Rhinolophus ferrumequinum: one gene and its partner. The protein of the gene in region 1 interacts with the protein of each later gene in a biochemical or structural test. Links are inferred from orthologs where the notes say so. Each region holds a gene or a part of one and is shown in the gene's direction. Other genes may lie near its edges.

Region 1 (8,737 bases):
CGCTCTACCCGCACCAGCCGGAGTGCATCCGGTTCTGGGCCGGTGTGAGCTAGCCTCACGAAAGCACAGGACTTCAAAAGGTTTTCGTGAGGATGTTTGGACAAGTATAATAGTGCTCATTATAGACATTTTTGGGAAAAAAAGAGAAAATTATAAAGATGTAATCCACCACCCTGAAACATTTAAAATATTTTCCCCCTCTCCTGTCTTTTTCTTTCTCTCTGTCTCAATGTGTTTCCATGTATTTCCATTTCTACATATTCTTAGAGTACTAGGATAATGCTATGTGTTCTATCCTGCATTTTAGTTTAATTTTATACGTGAGTATTTTCCAATGTAACTAAATAGTCTTTGAAAGCATAACTTTAATATTCTATCACATGACTATAAAAAAATCCAAAGAACTGCAGGGAATTTTACAAATCCTTCATTTCATTTCCATTATATTACAGATTAACAAATATGGTTTACTTACACTGATTAAGTGGAATTTGTACTGTTAGATATTTAGGTTACCAACATTAGAAAAAACTATGTCTAAAATGCAATATGGTTGCTGGAAGGACAGGGAATGTTTTTCAACATATTACTCTAGGTTTTTTCATCAGACTTGTAGATGCCGTTTTGAAACAGACCAAGGCCATACAGACAGAACACAAAGCTAGTAAGTTTTTCATGGGTTTGTGATAAGGACACACTGGCTAGTGTACTACTGGGGGATGAGAGACCCCACAGAAAATATTCGTGTTCGGGGAAGGGCAGTGGGCCTGCACCACTTGAGAAAGTTTGTTTAGAATTCAGTAGTAGGATGTTTTGCTTCTCCCCATAAGCTCTGTATCAATGATCTATTGCTGCATAACAAACCAAACTACCCCCAAAACTCGGTGGGGTAAAACAACCACCATTTATCATTGCTTGTGCGTCTAGGGTAGGCTGGACAGTTCTGCTCATCCGGGTCAGGCCACCTGATCTTGCCGAGGCACTCTCACGTGTCTGAGGCCTAAACCCTGACAGTTGCAGGACTCAGCTGTGGCTTGTGTTCTCTCATCCTGCAGCAGGCAAGACCGATTTGCATGGAGGCAGAACAGGGTTCTGGGAGTGGTGTGTGTAAGGCCTCTTGAGGCCTCGGCCCAGAATGACACAATGTCACTTTTGCTGCATAATATTGGTCAAAGCAATTGACAAGCTAGGGCAGTGGAGAAACAGTCCCCATTTCTTGCTGGAAGGAGCCTCAGAGTCACATTGCAAAGGAGTGTGGATACAGGAAAAGGAATAATGGAGCCATTGTTGAAAACAATCTACCAGGAGATCCTTCCTAATATTTTATGATGAGAATATGTAACTGCTAATATATATCTTTTTACTTTGGCTTGTAGTCTGCGTTGTATTCTTTATGTTTCTAGTTATTGTAAATATAATTAAATACAAGTGGGTGGTTGACAATAAAAGAGGGGATGCATGGAGAATAAAAATGACACTGTCTCCTTTTCTCCAAGCAAAAATAAATTTGTTCCAAATGGGAGGACTGGCATGGTTTGTAAGAGCCTTTCCATTATAATGTTGTGTGAATTTATGAGTTACTCCAGGGCCTTTAGTTACTCATCATAAAATGTGGTTTCTAGACTCCTCACCATCCTTGATTTTCCTTTGAATATACACCAGTTGACAGATGGCAAATAGTAAGCTTCATTTTACCTGCCTTTTCTGATTGATTGCTAGTGACCAACTAGATCTAGTGTTGAGTACTATTCAGAAGCTGGCCACTGGCAGCAAAGAGTACCCTGTTGTTTGTTGCTTTTTAAAAAACCCACATACAGATCTTAGCATTTCCTGTTTTAAGTTTTATCTAGTTGGTTTCAGCCTAGCAGCATTCTATCCTGTTCAGATGATTTCAAATTTTGATTCTGTCACCTATGAACTAGTCAGCTATTTCAATGGCAAAACAAACAAATAAAAAATACCTCCGTGACTTACAACAACGACAACAAACACATCCCACTGTCTCCCTTACGGGTGTATGGATGGGCTGCAGCAGTTCTGCTCCAGGTGACTCCACATATCTTTCCTTGCAGGACTCTGGCTGGAGGAGCAGCAGATGCTTGAGCCTGCCGTCTCCTAGTGCAGGGAAGAAGCACACAAAAACAAGTCTGTCACAAAGAACATGCAAAATCTTAGGTCGGTGGAGTTACATTTGCTCAGATTCCATTATTAGAACAAGTCACACAGCAAGGCTAGAGTCAATGCACAAGAAGGTGCACTTCCCTCTTAGTGAAGACACTTAGTGAAGTGTCTATTATAGCATTCCAGTTCTAAAGTGATCAAAGCCTGCAACAGGATATTGTCAATGACTGTAAAACTAAGAATAAAGGCATAGGGAAAGAAGCATCCATAGAACTCCATGACAAAGAATGGGAAGGGAAAGAAAAATATTGACAAATAATATAGTCTACCAGACATGGTATTAGCTACTTTTTTCCTAGATGTGTGCCTTTTGCAAAGTTAATGTTGTTGGTATAGAGATACAGCTTCCCAAGCTGACTATTCTAAAGAGGCCATCTCATATTTGGGTCTGTCATTTTTGTATCCCCAGTTTTTTATTTGATTTGTTTTTTTGATTTGGTTGCTTTTGAAACAGTAAATATATTAAACAGTCACACTTATAAAATACATAAAGTTTGACCCCCAGGAACTTAGAACCTTGGATGGATAAGACTTGGACACTTCAAAAACCATAATATAAGAGAGTGTGTGATGATTGTCAACATAAATAGAGACACTTATATATCATATTATATCAGAGACCAGATTGCTCACCACAGGTCACATGATTCCAGAAGGAGAACATGGAATTTAGGTTTGGTTTTAAAAGTTGAGTTAGGATTTAATAAATGAAGGGAGTAAGGGGCAGGACTAGTCATTCCGTATGTGCAACACTTGCCAGTAGTATGTGCAAAGGAGCAGAACCGGGAAAATTAAAAGCATGAGGGGAGAGCAGGGGACAGAGTTTAGTTGGGTAATGGGACAATGGGAGACAAGGCTGGAAAGAAAGGTAGGGACATTCTGTGGAGGATCCAGACCAGTTTATGTTTATTATAAATGCAATGAACTTTGGCAAGGCTTTTCAGTGGGGAATGACTATATAAATACGGTGTTTTCGAGAATTTAATTTGGAAAAAATAATGGAGCAGGAAAGGCAAGAAGTCTGGTGTCTATTGTAGCATTCCAGTTCTGAAGTGATGAAGGCCTACGACAGGGTATTGTCAATGACTGTAAAATAAGGAGAATAAAGCCATAGGGATGGAAGATCCTAGAACCTGATAACCAGAATGTGGAGAGCCAAAGAGAAACATCCTGTTTACATAGGCTAAGATTATTTAATCCCCCCATCAATATTAAAGCTAATCTATGTACAGATTTTACAATACCAGAAAAAAGGGTATTTTAAACATATTATCTACCCTTCCTGGAGTCAGCTTTTCTCAAACATTGTCTGGGCCCTTAGTGCAGATGAGTAGGAGGGGAAGGGCTCTTTTTGGTAGTTTAGCATCTCTTTTCACAGAAGGCTGCTACTTTCGTACCAAGGGTCATTGCTATCACCAGTTCAGTACTAATTTTGTGAGGTTGAACATGTGACAAGAAGGAGTATATAGATGTGGAGGAGAAACAACTATAGGAGACACATACATAAGCACATCTCTGGGAAATTATTTAGATCCTTTTTCTACCCAAAGTTGCCTTATTATTCAAGGTTTGAGTCAAATTCCATCTACTTGAAGGAACCAACTGATTTTATGGGCATGTATTCCAAGAAGATCTAATCTAGACTGGCCTCAGGGATGCCTGCCTGGGAAGTGACATTTAAGCTGAGATTTTAGCTGAGACAAAAGACAAGTTAGCCATCAAAAAAGTTGGGGGAGGAGGGTGATGGCTTAAAGGGTTTTCCAAATGGAGAACTGCCAGTGAGAAGGCCCTGAGTTTGTGGAAATAATTCAGCTTATTTGAAGAACAAAAATGCTGACGTAAGGAAAGAGTGGCACAAGATGGGGTTAGAGAAAATGATAAGGGAGCTAGTGCTTTTCTTTGTAGGGTATATTAAGAAATTTGAATTTTATAAGAAAAGCCATTAGAGGATTTTCAGGTTGACAAACACATAATTTGCTTTTCAATTAAAAATAGAATCCCTCAAACTGCTGTAGGGAGAATGAATTAAAAGAAAGTTAAGAACTGAAGTGTGGCGGCCATTTGGGAATCCACAGCAGTAATCTAAATGAGACAAAAGGGGGGATGGCATAAGAGATAGTGAGAAGTGAGGAGACTTGAGAAATATTTAGAAGGAAGAATCAAACAAGGCTTGAGGAAGAGGTGTGCAGGGTGAGGAAGAAGGCAATGTCAAAAATAACTCCTAGCTATCCCACGTGTGCCATTTCTAGAAAGAGGGCAGGTTTGAGGAGAAAGATGATGAGTTGGTTCTGAACATCACTAGTTGGCAGAACTTACCGGACGTCCAAGAAGGGAGTCAAGTGGGGGCTGTACACAGGTGTGGAACTTGGAAGGAGGTGTGAACAGGGTACACATACAGCAGCCCTCCACCTCTTGAAGAAAATTGGGACGCTGTGGGTGAGGTCATCACGGGGCAGCGTAAGGAGAAACGTAGGTAAAGCAGACCAAGAACAGGACTCTGACAACAATTAACATTGACCGGCTTGGTAGTATAGGTGGAGCAGAGATGGAGAAAGAATGCTACAGAGGTAGGAAGAAGCAAAGAAGAGGTGTGTGTTCTCATCATGGCCAAGAAAGTGGTGTTAAAAAAATGGAGACATTAACTGTGCAGAAGGTTTCTGAGCGTTCAAGTAGGTGAGAACAGAAAAGCGACCCCTGGGTTTAGCTACACGGAAGTCAGCTGCTAAGTTGAGCTTCTAGAATGACAATGCCCCAACCTGTGTCCTCTGCCTCCGTTTCTCAGATATGGAGCTAATGCAGAGATCGCCAAATTTGGGCCTTTACAAACACAGAACTTCCTTTTAATTGCGCTGTAGAATGTGTAACCATAACCTCTAGTCAGTCAAGTTGCAACACAGAGCTTAGCTTCGCGTCACTGACGTAGGGACCAAGGAAGCACCCGGCGTGTAGGCAAAGCAGCAACCCCGGGGGGAGGTGGCGCGACCGCGGAACAGCCGGGTCCCATTGGCCGAGTGCGGGAGCCCCAGTGATTGGTGGAGGCGGAGGAGGCGGGGCGTCCGGCGCTGCCTTTTTTCTAGGTTGGTGCTTTCGTTTTCCTGCGCAGAGTCTTCGGAGAGGCCTGGCTGCACTTGGGAAGACGCGGGTGAAACCCCAGACAGAGAAGAGGCGGCTGGGTGCGCCCGAGAGAGGCGCCTTCGCCCATCCCTGCTCGACCCGTCGCGCAGAGTGAGCGGGCGTGAGGTTCCAGGTGGGAGTGCGCTGGGACCAGCGCCGTCCGGGCGGGGCAGCGGGACACTGGGCCACGATCGGCTTGGCCGTGCTGCCAGGTGATTCCGTCATCCCGGAAGGAACGCGCGTTCCTAGAATCCCAGGTGCTATTCTCGATGATGGCACGGTTGCCCCTGCCAGTCGAGCTCTAGAAGTAAAGATGTCTTGTAAAATGCAATTATGACCCCATTTACCCTCACTGTTCCCTCCTTCCCGCCCCTTTCCATCACAGTCACGTTATCTTCTTTTCACAGAAAGTTTTGATTTGCCGTGGGTCACCCCTGGAGAGCTAAGTTAGAAAGAAGGTCGCATCCTGTGCATGCAAACTGAGTAGTCTTGACACCTGAAGTGCTGTGTGTAGCTGCTGCTTGGGTTGAATTCCCACCCTGCCCCTCGCTGGGGCATAAGGTGACAGGTCAGTATATGATCATGGAATGAATGAATGCGTACATGACTTTGGAGCTTAATTATGTATCTAGGTTTAAGGAGGAAGGAGCTTAATTTCTTCTTAGAATATAAAAGTGATGTTTTGTTCCTGCAAACCCCCAAATAATACAATTAATCTTAATTAAAAAAATTGACTGATACCAGAGTTTGGGGGTAGATACATAAGTTTGTGGTTGATTGTGCTTTGGATGTTGTTTGTATAGGTTGGAGAGGTGGTTTTTATGGGACATAAATAAGACTTGAGCCTCTAGCACAATACAGTATGCAGTATTGCTTAATGAGGAGGCTTGTTGGGCCGTAATATGGTTTGCCCTTTACTTTCTATTGCAATCTGAAATATACTAGATTTTAATTCAACAAACTATTGTTGATTTATTGATTACATTATATGTGCAGAACACTGTCCAGGGTCCAGAGGGGATATATATATATATATATTTATATATTTATTTATTTATTTTTTTTAAAGGCATAGTCCTTGCAACTCTGGATCTTACATCATGCGGTAGAGACATCACTGAGCTTTATAAAAAAAGACAGGGACTGGTGCTCTAATAGACACAGAATGCGATGAGACACAAGTCAAAGAAAGCTTAATTATCTCTGTGTAAGGCTCTGACAGCTTTATGGAAGAAGGGGCATTTGTACCTACCTTTGAATACTGGTAGGATTTAGAAAGGCAGAAATCTGTAGGGACCCTCTTTTCAAGGGTGAGTGACAGCTGGAGCAAAGCAGAAGTGTTGGGCGTAGCCAAAAATCCATAGATAATTTGGTGACTAGGTTGCTTTGTGAATAGATGAAAATAAGTTTGGAGTGGAAATCGGCCTGGGAATGGGCAAACCTTAGCAATTTTGAGCAAGAGAGTGATGTGGTCCAACCTGTGTGCAGCAGACAGCTGGATTGGGAGATAGAGTTGGAGGCAGGGAGGTAGGAGATCTTGGGACTGGAGAGGAAGGAGTCAGCCTGAAAATTGGGATTTGAGCCTGGTGATTGGGGGACAGTTATGCCAATCCTTGTGTCAGTAACATGTTTTGTGAGAAGATGAGATGGATTCTGGTTTTGTTAACATGGATTTATTGATTGCATGCTCTGTGCCAGGTGCTGTGTCTGTGCTAGTTTATCCACTCTTAACAACCATCCTGTTAGGGAAGTGAATTGCGTGAGGTCAGTTGCCTAATAAGAGCTCTTGCAGCCTTTGCTTGCAGACATTCCTGCTAGCATGTTTGCTTTAGGCATATCCTTATTACATACCTAAGAGGGAAGGAGAGAGCCACAGGTTTGGAGTCTTCTGCTCAGGTAAAACAGATTTCAAGTGAAAGGAAAATTGCTACAGAAAGTGTGCCAAAAGGGTAGGCATGGGTCCATTTCTTCTGGTATTTGTGATGGTAACTAGCTTTTTAGTCCCACCATATCATTACTTCCCTTTGGAAGGAAATTTGTGGAGTAATCATGACTTCGTGCCTGCATACATGTATTCACCAGCAGGCATGCATACATTTTTCCATGCCCTGCTTGAAAATCCTGACCCCTTCCTCAGAGGCCTGGTAGGATAAGATTCGCTTATATCCACTCTGAATATTGTCAGATGTGCCTGATGTAAATCCTAAATTACACTGTGGTGATGGTTTTCCTAATGAATGTTAAGACTTTCTTAAATCAAGTTTTTGTTTTAATTTTTAATCTTTAGAATTGCTATGTAAAAAATGACTTACGATTATCCAAAGAGATAGTATTAGTTTATCCTTTCATATTAAATTTAACAATGTTTCTTCAATCTTTAAAAGCTATTACTAAGATTTAAGACTTTTTCTGCCAGATTTATTGTTTGCAGTTGGCAAAGAAGAAAATATATCTCTTTTAGAAATAAGAACAAAGCGGGAGGTATCACGCTACCTGATATCAAATTATACTACATGGCAGCAGTAATCAAAACAGCACAATACTGGCATAAAAACAGACACATAGGTCAATGCAACAGAATAAATCCATACCTATATGGCCATTTAAATGATGACAAAGGAAGCAAGAATTTACATTGGGGGTAAAGACAGTCTATTTAATAAGTGGTGCTGGGAAAACTGAATAGATACATGCAAAAAAATGAAACTGGGCCACTTTCTTATGCCATACACAAGAATAAACTCAAAACGGTTTAAAGATTTAAATGTAAGACCTGAAACCATAAAACTCCTAAAACATAGGCAGTAAATTCTCAGACGTTACCCTTAGTAATATTTTTACACATATATCCCTTCGGGCACAGGAAACAAAAGAAAAAATAAATATGGGAGTACCACTTTGAGCACCTCTTGTAATTGCAGAAGTCAAATGTGACTTGTATTTATCTTCTGTTATTGGTATATATTAATACGTTTTTTTGCTTTCTTAAAATATGTATACATTTTTGGGCATCCTCTCTCCGTGTGTGTTTGTGTGTGTGTATTCTTTAAAAGGTATGTAACAAAAATACTTCATTTTACCCTATAAATCATAAAGTATAAAGTACCAGTTTAAAATTCTTTGAGTTAAATTACAAATGGACTGTGATTTGTAAGAGAACAATTTTGGGAGTGTTCTTACTATTTGTCCTAAAGTAAATCTAATTAAATAAATAAAATAAATGTTTTCCATTTATTTGATAAAAGTACAGATTTATTTAAATGGCATACTTACTAAATACCTACTAAATGCCCAGCACTGTTCTAGAGATACAGCAGTGAACAAAACCCCCCAAAATCCTTTCCTTCATGCGGGGAAAACAATATTCAAAATAAAAAAGAAAATGTGTGGTGGTAGATTAGATGTTGGTAAGTACTATGGAGATAAATGCATCAGAAATAGG
Region 2 (7,782 bases), on another chromosome or scaffold:
AAAGGCGAGATGGAGAAGGGGCTGGTGAGGCCCGCCGCCCTCCCCGCCCTGTGGCTGACTGAGCTCCTCGGCTCCCAGGTGTCAGACCGAGTGTGACACCTGGCAGATCAGAGCAGAGGGGGTGCTGTTGCGTGGGGAATCCCTTGGGTCTGTGTGCGTCGGGATAGCTGTCGCTCCGTGACTGCCCCTTGGCACACCACCAACGCCCAAACTGCCTCTCCTTCAAACCTCTTTGCGGGGCTGCGGGTTAGGCAAGCCAGAAGAGGGGACTCAGAGGGGCAGGGGTTGTGCAGTGGTCAGTGTAGGACTGGGGCAGTCTGGGGGCTGCACACCTCCGTGGGAGCCCCAGGAAAGATCTGTGCCCTGCACTCCCAGAAAGTACCTTCCCTTTGTCTAACCCAAGTATTTCTCAAGCTTCACTCAAACACAAATGAGCCCCGGACGGAACTTGGGTAGGACCAACTCTTTGGCAGTTACACCAACATAGATTGAGCCTTGCACCAGAGCTTCATGAGCTTGATCTCTTCCATCCTCTCAACAAACCATCAGGACAACACAGTAGTACCTCGGTTTTTGAATGTCTCCGTTGAACATTTCGGTTTATGTATGCCATAAACCCGGGAGTAAATGCTTCGGTTTTCAAACACGCCTCAGAAGTCGAACATGTCATGCAGCTTCTGCTGAGTGCAAGATCCTGAAGCCTAGCTGTTGGCTGTTTTCAAACGTTTCAGAACTCGAACGTTCTTCCGGAACGGATTATGTTCGAAAACCGAGGTACCACTGTATTACTATTATTATCTCCAATCCACAGATGAGGAAGGTGAGGCACAGTTAAGTCACAGGTCCACGGCAGAGCTGGGATGTGAACCTGGACCCTGCAGCCCCTTGGCCTGGCACTTCCCTACCATGTGGCACTGCCCCCAAAGTCACTGCCCTCACTTGCCCCCTATCCAGTGCCCAAAGCCGAAATCCTTGCTCGTGACCATTTGGTGGCCTGAGGCATGGCCACTGACTGGTTGGACCATGTCCCAAATGCCCTTCTCTCCTGCTCTATCCGCAGTGGGACCTTCCAAGGCTCTGCTACCCCAGCAGTTACTCAGGCACACCATCCCTGCTGGCCTGCGCCTCCTTCTCCGGAAACATGAGCTCACTCTCCCTTGGCCAGGCCAGTGCTCTGGGTGTGATGGGGATGGTGCTGGCAGCCAAAGCTTCAGGGACAGGGATGGTAATACAGAGAAGCACAAACAGAGAGTAAGAGGCAGAAAGGCCAGGACAAGGACCAATTCTACACAGGGATCAAGTGGGGGACCCTATCCTGCCCATAGTTGGGCAGGCCCAAGCGATAGAGGGAGGTCCAGGCCTTTTCCAGGTTGCTTGGCTGAATCTGGAACTACCTGTAGAGGGGCTTGGTGGGGGGAGGCCCCCAGGTTCATGGCCTCTGGGTGGAGTAGGAGTTGCAGGTTGACCCTCCTCTGGACAAACCCTCCAGGGAGCCCCAGAGGAACAGCTCTGTGTGGATGCTGGGGTAGGAGTCTGAACACTACCCAGTGCTACCCCTGATGGGCCCATTTCCTTTGCAGCAAACCTGGAGGAGGAGAAAGGGAAAGTACCACTTCTGGGTGGCTGCTATGGGCCTAGCCCTACTTGGAGATTTATGCCCCATGTCACAAGAGGCTATCGAGGGCTCTTCCAAGGCTGACAGCCTGTGACTCAGCAAAGTGACCATACCTGGCCAATGTGAGCTGAGCCCTTAATGGGTGTCCACACATATCGTCTCACCTCACCTTTTACTCAACCCCTGACATGGGTCTGTCATCAGTCCCTTTCACAGTTGAGGACTCAGGATCAAAGAGGTGTTGTCACCTGCTCAAGATCATACAATTAGCATGCTGTCACACAGCCAAGGTTTGCACCCAGGCCTCAGCAGGCCCATCTAAGGTTGGGTCCAGGTAGGTTATGGGGGCACAAAGGCAAGCTCATCTGGATCTTGCACTGGCCCACCCAGTGTGGCACCTAAGAGCAGTTCCAGCATGCAGAGTGGCTCCAGCTGAGCTTGACCTGGATTCCTGGACCCCACAAATGCCTGTTCTCCCTGGGACTGTTGGTCCCACAGTTTGATTCTGGAGGGAAGCCCACCTGCATCCCTCCTCTGCCCTCATCATAGTGTGGGCTCTATAATCCTGAGGGCCAGGAAAGTGCTTCCTGGTGTCTAATTTAAATCGTTCTTGCTCCTGTCACACCAGCCCCACTCTAAAGCAATGGTTCTGAACAAGGGGTGATTTTTGGCGCCGAGGGGATATTTGGCAGTATCTGGAGACATTTTTATCTGTCACAATTTGAGGATGTGCTACTGGCATCTAGTGTAGAGGCCAAGGATGCAGCTAAACATCCTGCAATGCACAGGACAGTTCCCACAACAATGAGTTATCTGGCCCGAAAGTCAGTAGCGCTGAGATTGAGAACTCCTGAACTAAAACATGGGTTTTGGAGCCAGTTGGAATTCTGCCTCTGCCATTTACTAGCTGTGTACCCTTCACCAAGGGGCTTTATCTCTCTTTGAAAGACTCAATTTGCCCATCACCAAAAGTGGCACTCACTAATAGTGGCCCTCATCTTAAAGGGTCTTGAGGACCAAACAGATTCACACATTCAGTATCCAGCAAAGGGCCTGGCACCAGGGAAGCTCCGTCAGTGATAGCCATTATTCTTACTTTCCATTTTCCAAGGTGAACCTAAGGTGTGGGAATAAAAGTCTGGTGGCAGAACCTGGAGCTCCCCATGGGTCAGCCCTCCCCTTCGGTGGTCTCTGGCACTGGGTCAGCCTATTGTTGATGTTGTGGGAGAGGCTGGGTTGGCCACTGGATCTGGAGGGAGGAGCCAGAAAGGAAACTTGATCCCAGGTGGGCAAAAGTCACCTGGAGTCACCTTGACTCACCTTTTTCTCCAGCCCAACCCCAGGGAAGTCATGGGATTGGGGCGGGGAGACCAGGACACAAAACAGGCTAATGAATACATAGGAATACAGTTCCTTAGCTCAGGGAAATGCCATGGATTCACAGCTGGGCTCAGGGAGAGAAGCATTTAAGTGATCACAACCCAGACAGGTAGAGATATGGGGGTGGGTGGGAAATGGCATCGTGGCCCAGGGAACAGCATGTTCAAAGGTTTGGTTGTGAGGTAAGGCATAATGCCTATTTCCCAAATGACAGTCCAGTGTGGTGAGAGCAGTCCAGCTTGGTGGAAAGCTGGGTCTTCCTTCCCAGGTGTAGGGCACCAGGGCCCCCCTCTCTCTGTGGTGGGAAGAGTCATTGCAGTTTTTCTCTTTGCAGTCCAGACACTTCCCTTTGCCCCCGCCTGCACACACTTAAAACAGAATTTCAGGATCCACATCTCTCTTAGGGTTCTCAACATCCCCACCCGCTATTCACACAACCCTGTAAGGGACCCATCTTACCCAACCCAGGGTCTTCCCACCTGAAGAATGTGACAGCCCTTCTGCCCCATCCAGCCCCCTCCTTTCTCCTTCCCCTCTGTCCTATGATCGCCCCAGGAGCGCAATCCGTTGTAATAGCTGCCACCACCTGCTCCTTGAGAAGACTAAAGCCAGCTCAGGCCTCCTCAGGATTGCCCCACTCCCACCCCGAGTTTCATCCCTTACTCTTCAGCTGGGAAGAGCAGTCTGGACTCTTCTCATCCCCTCTAGAGGTTACCGCAGGAGGCCTGAGACCCGGAACCCTCTTCTATGCCTCTGGAAAGTGGCATTTCTTTGGAGTACAAAGCCAGCGGTTTGACTTTCTGAGCTTTGGAGGCAGAGGAAATGGACTCCCTGGACCCCACTCCGTCTCCAGACTTCAGCCCAGGGAATACTCAGTGAATGAATGAATGAACGAACGAATGAATGAGTTATGCCTGACAGCCAAGTTCCAAGTCTGGAAAGGAAGCTTAGGCGCCTACCCGGGGCGATGGAGAGCTCTGGAAAGCCCGGCCGGGAGAGCGGACCACTGGGGCATCGGGTTAGGGATCGCTCTCAGAAGGGTCTGACCAGCCGCAGACCAGCTAGAGCCTCCCGCCCTGGAGTCTTCCCAGCTCGTGTAGGGGCAGGGCCGGGACTAGCCGGCCTGGCGGCGGGCACCGAGCCCCGCCGCGTCTGCACTCCAGTCAACAGGAAGAGAAAGAGAGAGGCCTGGCGTGACTGGCCAGCAGGCTGGTGGGGAGTCCCGGGCGTGGGCGCCGGGATCTGGGGAACCCCCGCGGGCGCCTCCCGGCTTGCGTGCTTTGGGGTGGGGGCGGAGGTAACGCCCCCTCCGTCGGGCCTCAGCGTCCTCTGTATGATGCGGCCCCCTCTAAGGGCTGGTACGTGAGCTGATGGGAGACCGGGGTCGAGGTGTGAGGGGAGGGCAGAGAGGCCCAGACACTGAGTGACTCGAGCAGAGGCAGAGATGCTGGACCCCGGCTCCAGCGCGCGGAGGCGGGCCTTCGAGGGGCAGGCCCTGATCCGGGGGCGGGCCGGGGCCGGCACCTGGGTGAGGTCGCCCCGCCCCGCCCCCTTGTACTTCCGTGTGCAGCGGCGCGGGAGGCGGCGGCCCTGGGATCCCCGGAGCGACCCCCGGCACCCGCCGGTCGCGCCGAGGCGGGGACGGTACTTCACCCGCCGCCGGGCCCGTCCGGGTCTGGCCCCACCAAGACCCACGTCTGAGCGCACGCCCAGGAGCCGCGCCGGGAGCCGGACCCCAGCTGCCGCGACCCCTGGCGCCTGGCCCTGCGCTTGGAGGTGAGTGAGGGCCGGTTCCAAACGTGGGATCCGAGCTACCCCGAGGGCGCGCTGCCCCTCCCTTCCCCCTCCCCTCTCTGGTTCCCGTTTCCGAAACTGAGAAACTGATCCGCCGCCAGCGAAAGTGTCGCCGCGCCCCGGGACCCGCCGGTGCCTCCGTACCCCCGTCTGTCTGTCCCTCGGTTCAACGGTAGGGGCCGAGGCCCTCTTGTCCGTCAGCTCCCAGCCCCACTACCCGCCTGTGTCCCCATCTCCTTCGAAAGTCCACCCGTCCCTCCCGAATCTCTGGGGCCCTCTGTCCGTCCATCTGTCCCCACCCCCTCCCCCCGTCCGCCTCTCCCTGGTCTCTGTCTGTCTTTCACCCTTCGCATGCCCCTTCGCCCCACCCCCATCCCCCGCCGCCCCCTAGATCTCGTCCTCCGGGAGCCGCGTCCCCGGCCAGCGCTCGCCGCCCCTAGCCTGTCCCGCCGCCTCTCCTTTTCTACAGCGCGGCCCAAGCCTGGCGGTCCGCCGGGCCTCGCCTCCCGCCTCCCGGCCCTGGGTCCCAGCCCCGCCCGCGCGGTGCCTCCTCCTCGCTCTATCTCCTTTCAGTCTCTGTGTCTCTCGGTCTCTCCATCTGTCTCCGGGCTGGGCGTGGCTCGTCTCCATCACCCTCCCCTTCCCGTCTCGCCCTTTTGCTCCTTTGAGCCCCCTACCCTGGTGGCCTGTTCAAGGACTTGTCTGCCCCAGGCCCCTCCGCAATCCAGACACCACGCCTTTGGGGTCCCAGACCGGTGAGGGGAGACGGTGGAGGAAAGTGGGGTGAAGAAGGTGGGCACCTTCAGAAGTGCCCCACTTTCCCACCTCCCCCACTGAGCCCCCACTTAAAGCTGATCAGAAGGATTTGCTGTGAGTGGAGGGCTGACCCCCTTCTCCTCTGGCCCCTGCCCTGTATGTATGGATCCTGTCTTCGTGAGCTGGGTCGCTTGTATGTCTAAGCGTGTAAGTATGTTGTGTGTCTGTGTCCGCTTGGGTGTTCTTTGTCGCTGTGTTTGGAGCTTGCCCCTGTGAGTCCTGTTTCTCATGTATGATTTGCCTCTGTGTGTGTGTGTGTGTGTGTGTGTGTTGTGTGTATCTGTTTGGGTGTTCTGAAGCTCTGTGTGCCCTTTGCAACTATGTGTATACATCCCTGTGTGTTTGGAGGGTCCTATGTTGCACTGGGTGTGTCGTGGTGACCCACTGGCCCATGAGTATATTCAAGCTGTTAATTGTGGGAGCCCCGGTATTAGGGTTCCAGCCCACCAGGTTCATGTGTGTGTCTTTCTGAGTGTGTTGTGCGTGTGTGTGTGTGTGTGCGCGTGTACGCACACACACTCACATGTTGTGCTTCCTCTCCCTCTGCTACTGAGCCACTGTGATCAGGCTGACCAAGTCACCAAGAGAGGGGACTGTTCCATCAGGTTTCCTTGTTCCTGCTGTGAACTGAGTTGGGGTGTGGTGGACAGGCCAGCAGAGGGCAGCTGTGGAGAGAGAGAGTGTGAGTGTGAGTGTGTGTGTGTGTGTGTGTGTGTGTGTGATGTGGAGGTTTTGGGACAGCTATACCTGGCTGTAGGGTGTTGTATGGGATCTGGTGTATGACAGGACCGGAGCAGGGAGCAAGACGTGGTGTGGGCCTATGACTGGTGGGACACTCACAGTCTGACTGTATGAAACTGTGAGTCTGTGTGCTATGGGAGTAACTGTGCTTGTGGGGAACTGAGAGTGCTTGGGCGTGGGTGTCAGGAGCAAGAGGGGATGAAACAAGGTGTGTGGTGCCTGTGCCCTGGGGTGACAGTGTTGGGAGGAAAGGTGAGAGCCCCAGTGTGTGGGTGTGCACGCATCATGCTCTAGCCCGGCCCTGGCTCCTGGGGAGAGTAGGGAGACCTTCATTTCTCACCTTCCTCTACCCCCCCAAGTTGCCAGACACCAGAGGACAAGTCTTGGGGTTTGTAGTGTCATGACCAAGACCTTGGACTCTGAACCCAGAGAAGACCTGGGCTTAAAAGAGCAAGAGACCAGAGCTAGGCTTCTCTAAATCTCTTGCCTTATCTGCGGAATGGAGAAAGTTGATGACTAGAGGTCCTGTGTCACAGGTCCTTTAGCACAGCCTTAGCCCATAGTGAGAGCTCAGCACATGCTAAGTCTTATTTGGTGACCACCTCCCCCCAGTTGTATGGTCCCTATTCTCCTGGGAGCTGGGGCTAATAAAAGCCCAGATAGTCCCCCAACCCAGTATCCTCCCGGGGAATCTGTCTCTTGTCTGCCTCCCTTCCCTTTGACCAGGCAGCTTGTGGGAGGGAAGACGACTGACAGAAACCCTCCCAGCATCCAGCCCTGTTCATCCCACATGATGACACCCCTCCCCCCAGTCTCAGCAGCAGTGGTGGAGAGAGCGGTGAGGGGTGATTTGGAGCTGTGACTGCAGGGCACTGACACCATTTAGCTGGCACAGCTAATTGGAGTTTAAATTAAAATTAGAAGTAACTTAAAGTACAGACAAAAAGATAAAGCCTGAGGGTGTCTCGGTCCCCAGGGAATGGTGATGGGAATCTTCAGCTGGAGGAGGGGCTCACATCTGAAGAGGGGCATCTTTTGTGGAGGCCTGGCATGCAGAAAAAGTGCTCAGGTCTTTCAACCTGGACACCCAGGGCACCTTGCTGCCTTTGCTATTCCTTCCTTCCAGGAGCTCCCTGGGCCTCAGTTTCTTTTGGCTGTATAATGGGCACAATGGGTAATGTGAGAATCACTTCTACTAGAAGATGCAAAGCAAGGAACAAAAAAGTATCACTATTCACTTGGCACTCCCAGTATGAGTCCAGCACAGGAACTGGCATGTCACATTATTGGAGCCTGGAAACCACCTGGGAAGGTGTATTCTCCCCATTTTAAGATGAGACAAACTTGAGGAATTGTCTCAGGCCATAAGGCAATGGTACCTGATTGCACCCTAGGTCTCCTAAGCCCACAGAACAATCTCTTGTAGACAGGAGGAT

What was found.
Region 2: of the proteins of STAT1 (region 1) and PRKCD, one has a biochemical effect on the other in vitro, tested with the Homo sapiens proteins (2 studies listed by BioGRID). The link is inferred for Rhinolophus ferrumequinum from reciprocal best matches to the Homo sapiens genes STAT1 and PRKCD.

The regions. Positions count from the first base shown.
Region 1 is NC_046291.1:38,074,813-38,083,549, forward strand, and holds the start of STAT1 (signal transducer and activator of transcription 1-alpha/beta), read left to right. Parts: upstream 1-5,250; 5' UTR 5,251-5,406; exon of another isoform or gene 5,407-5,552; intron 5,553-5,702; 5' UTR 5,703-5,863; intron 5,864-8,737. UniProt on the Homo sapiens protein: Signal transducer and transcription activator that mediates cellular responses to interferons (IFNs), cytokine KITLG/SCF and other cytokines and other growth factors.
Region 2 is NC_046300.1:48,622,446-48,630,227, forward strand, and holds the start of PRKCD (protein kinase C delta type), read left to right. Parts: upstream 1-4,535; 5' UTR 4,536-4,771; intron 4,772-4,938; exon of another isoform or gene 4,939-4,961; intron 4,962-7,782.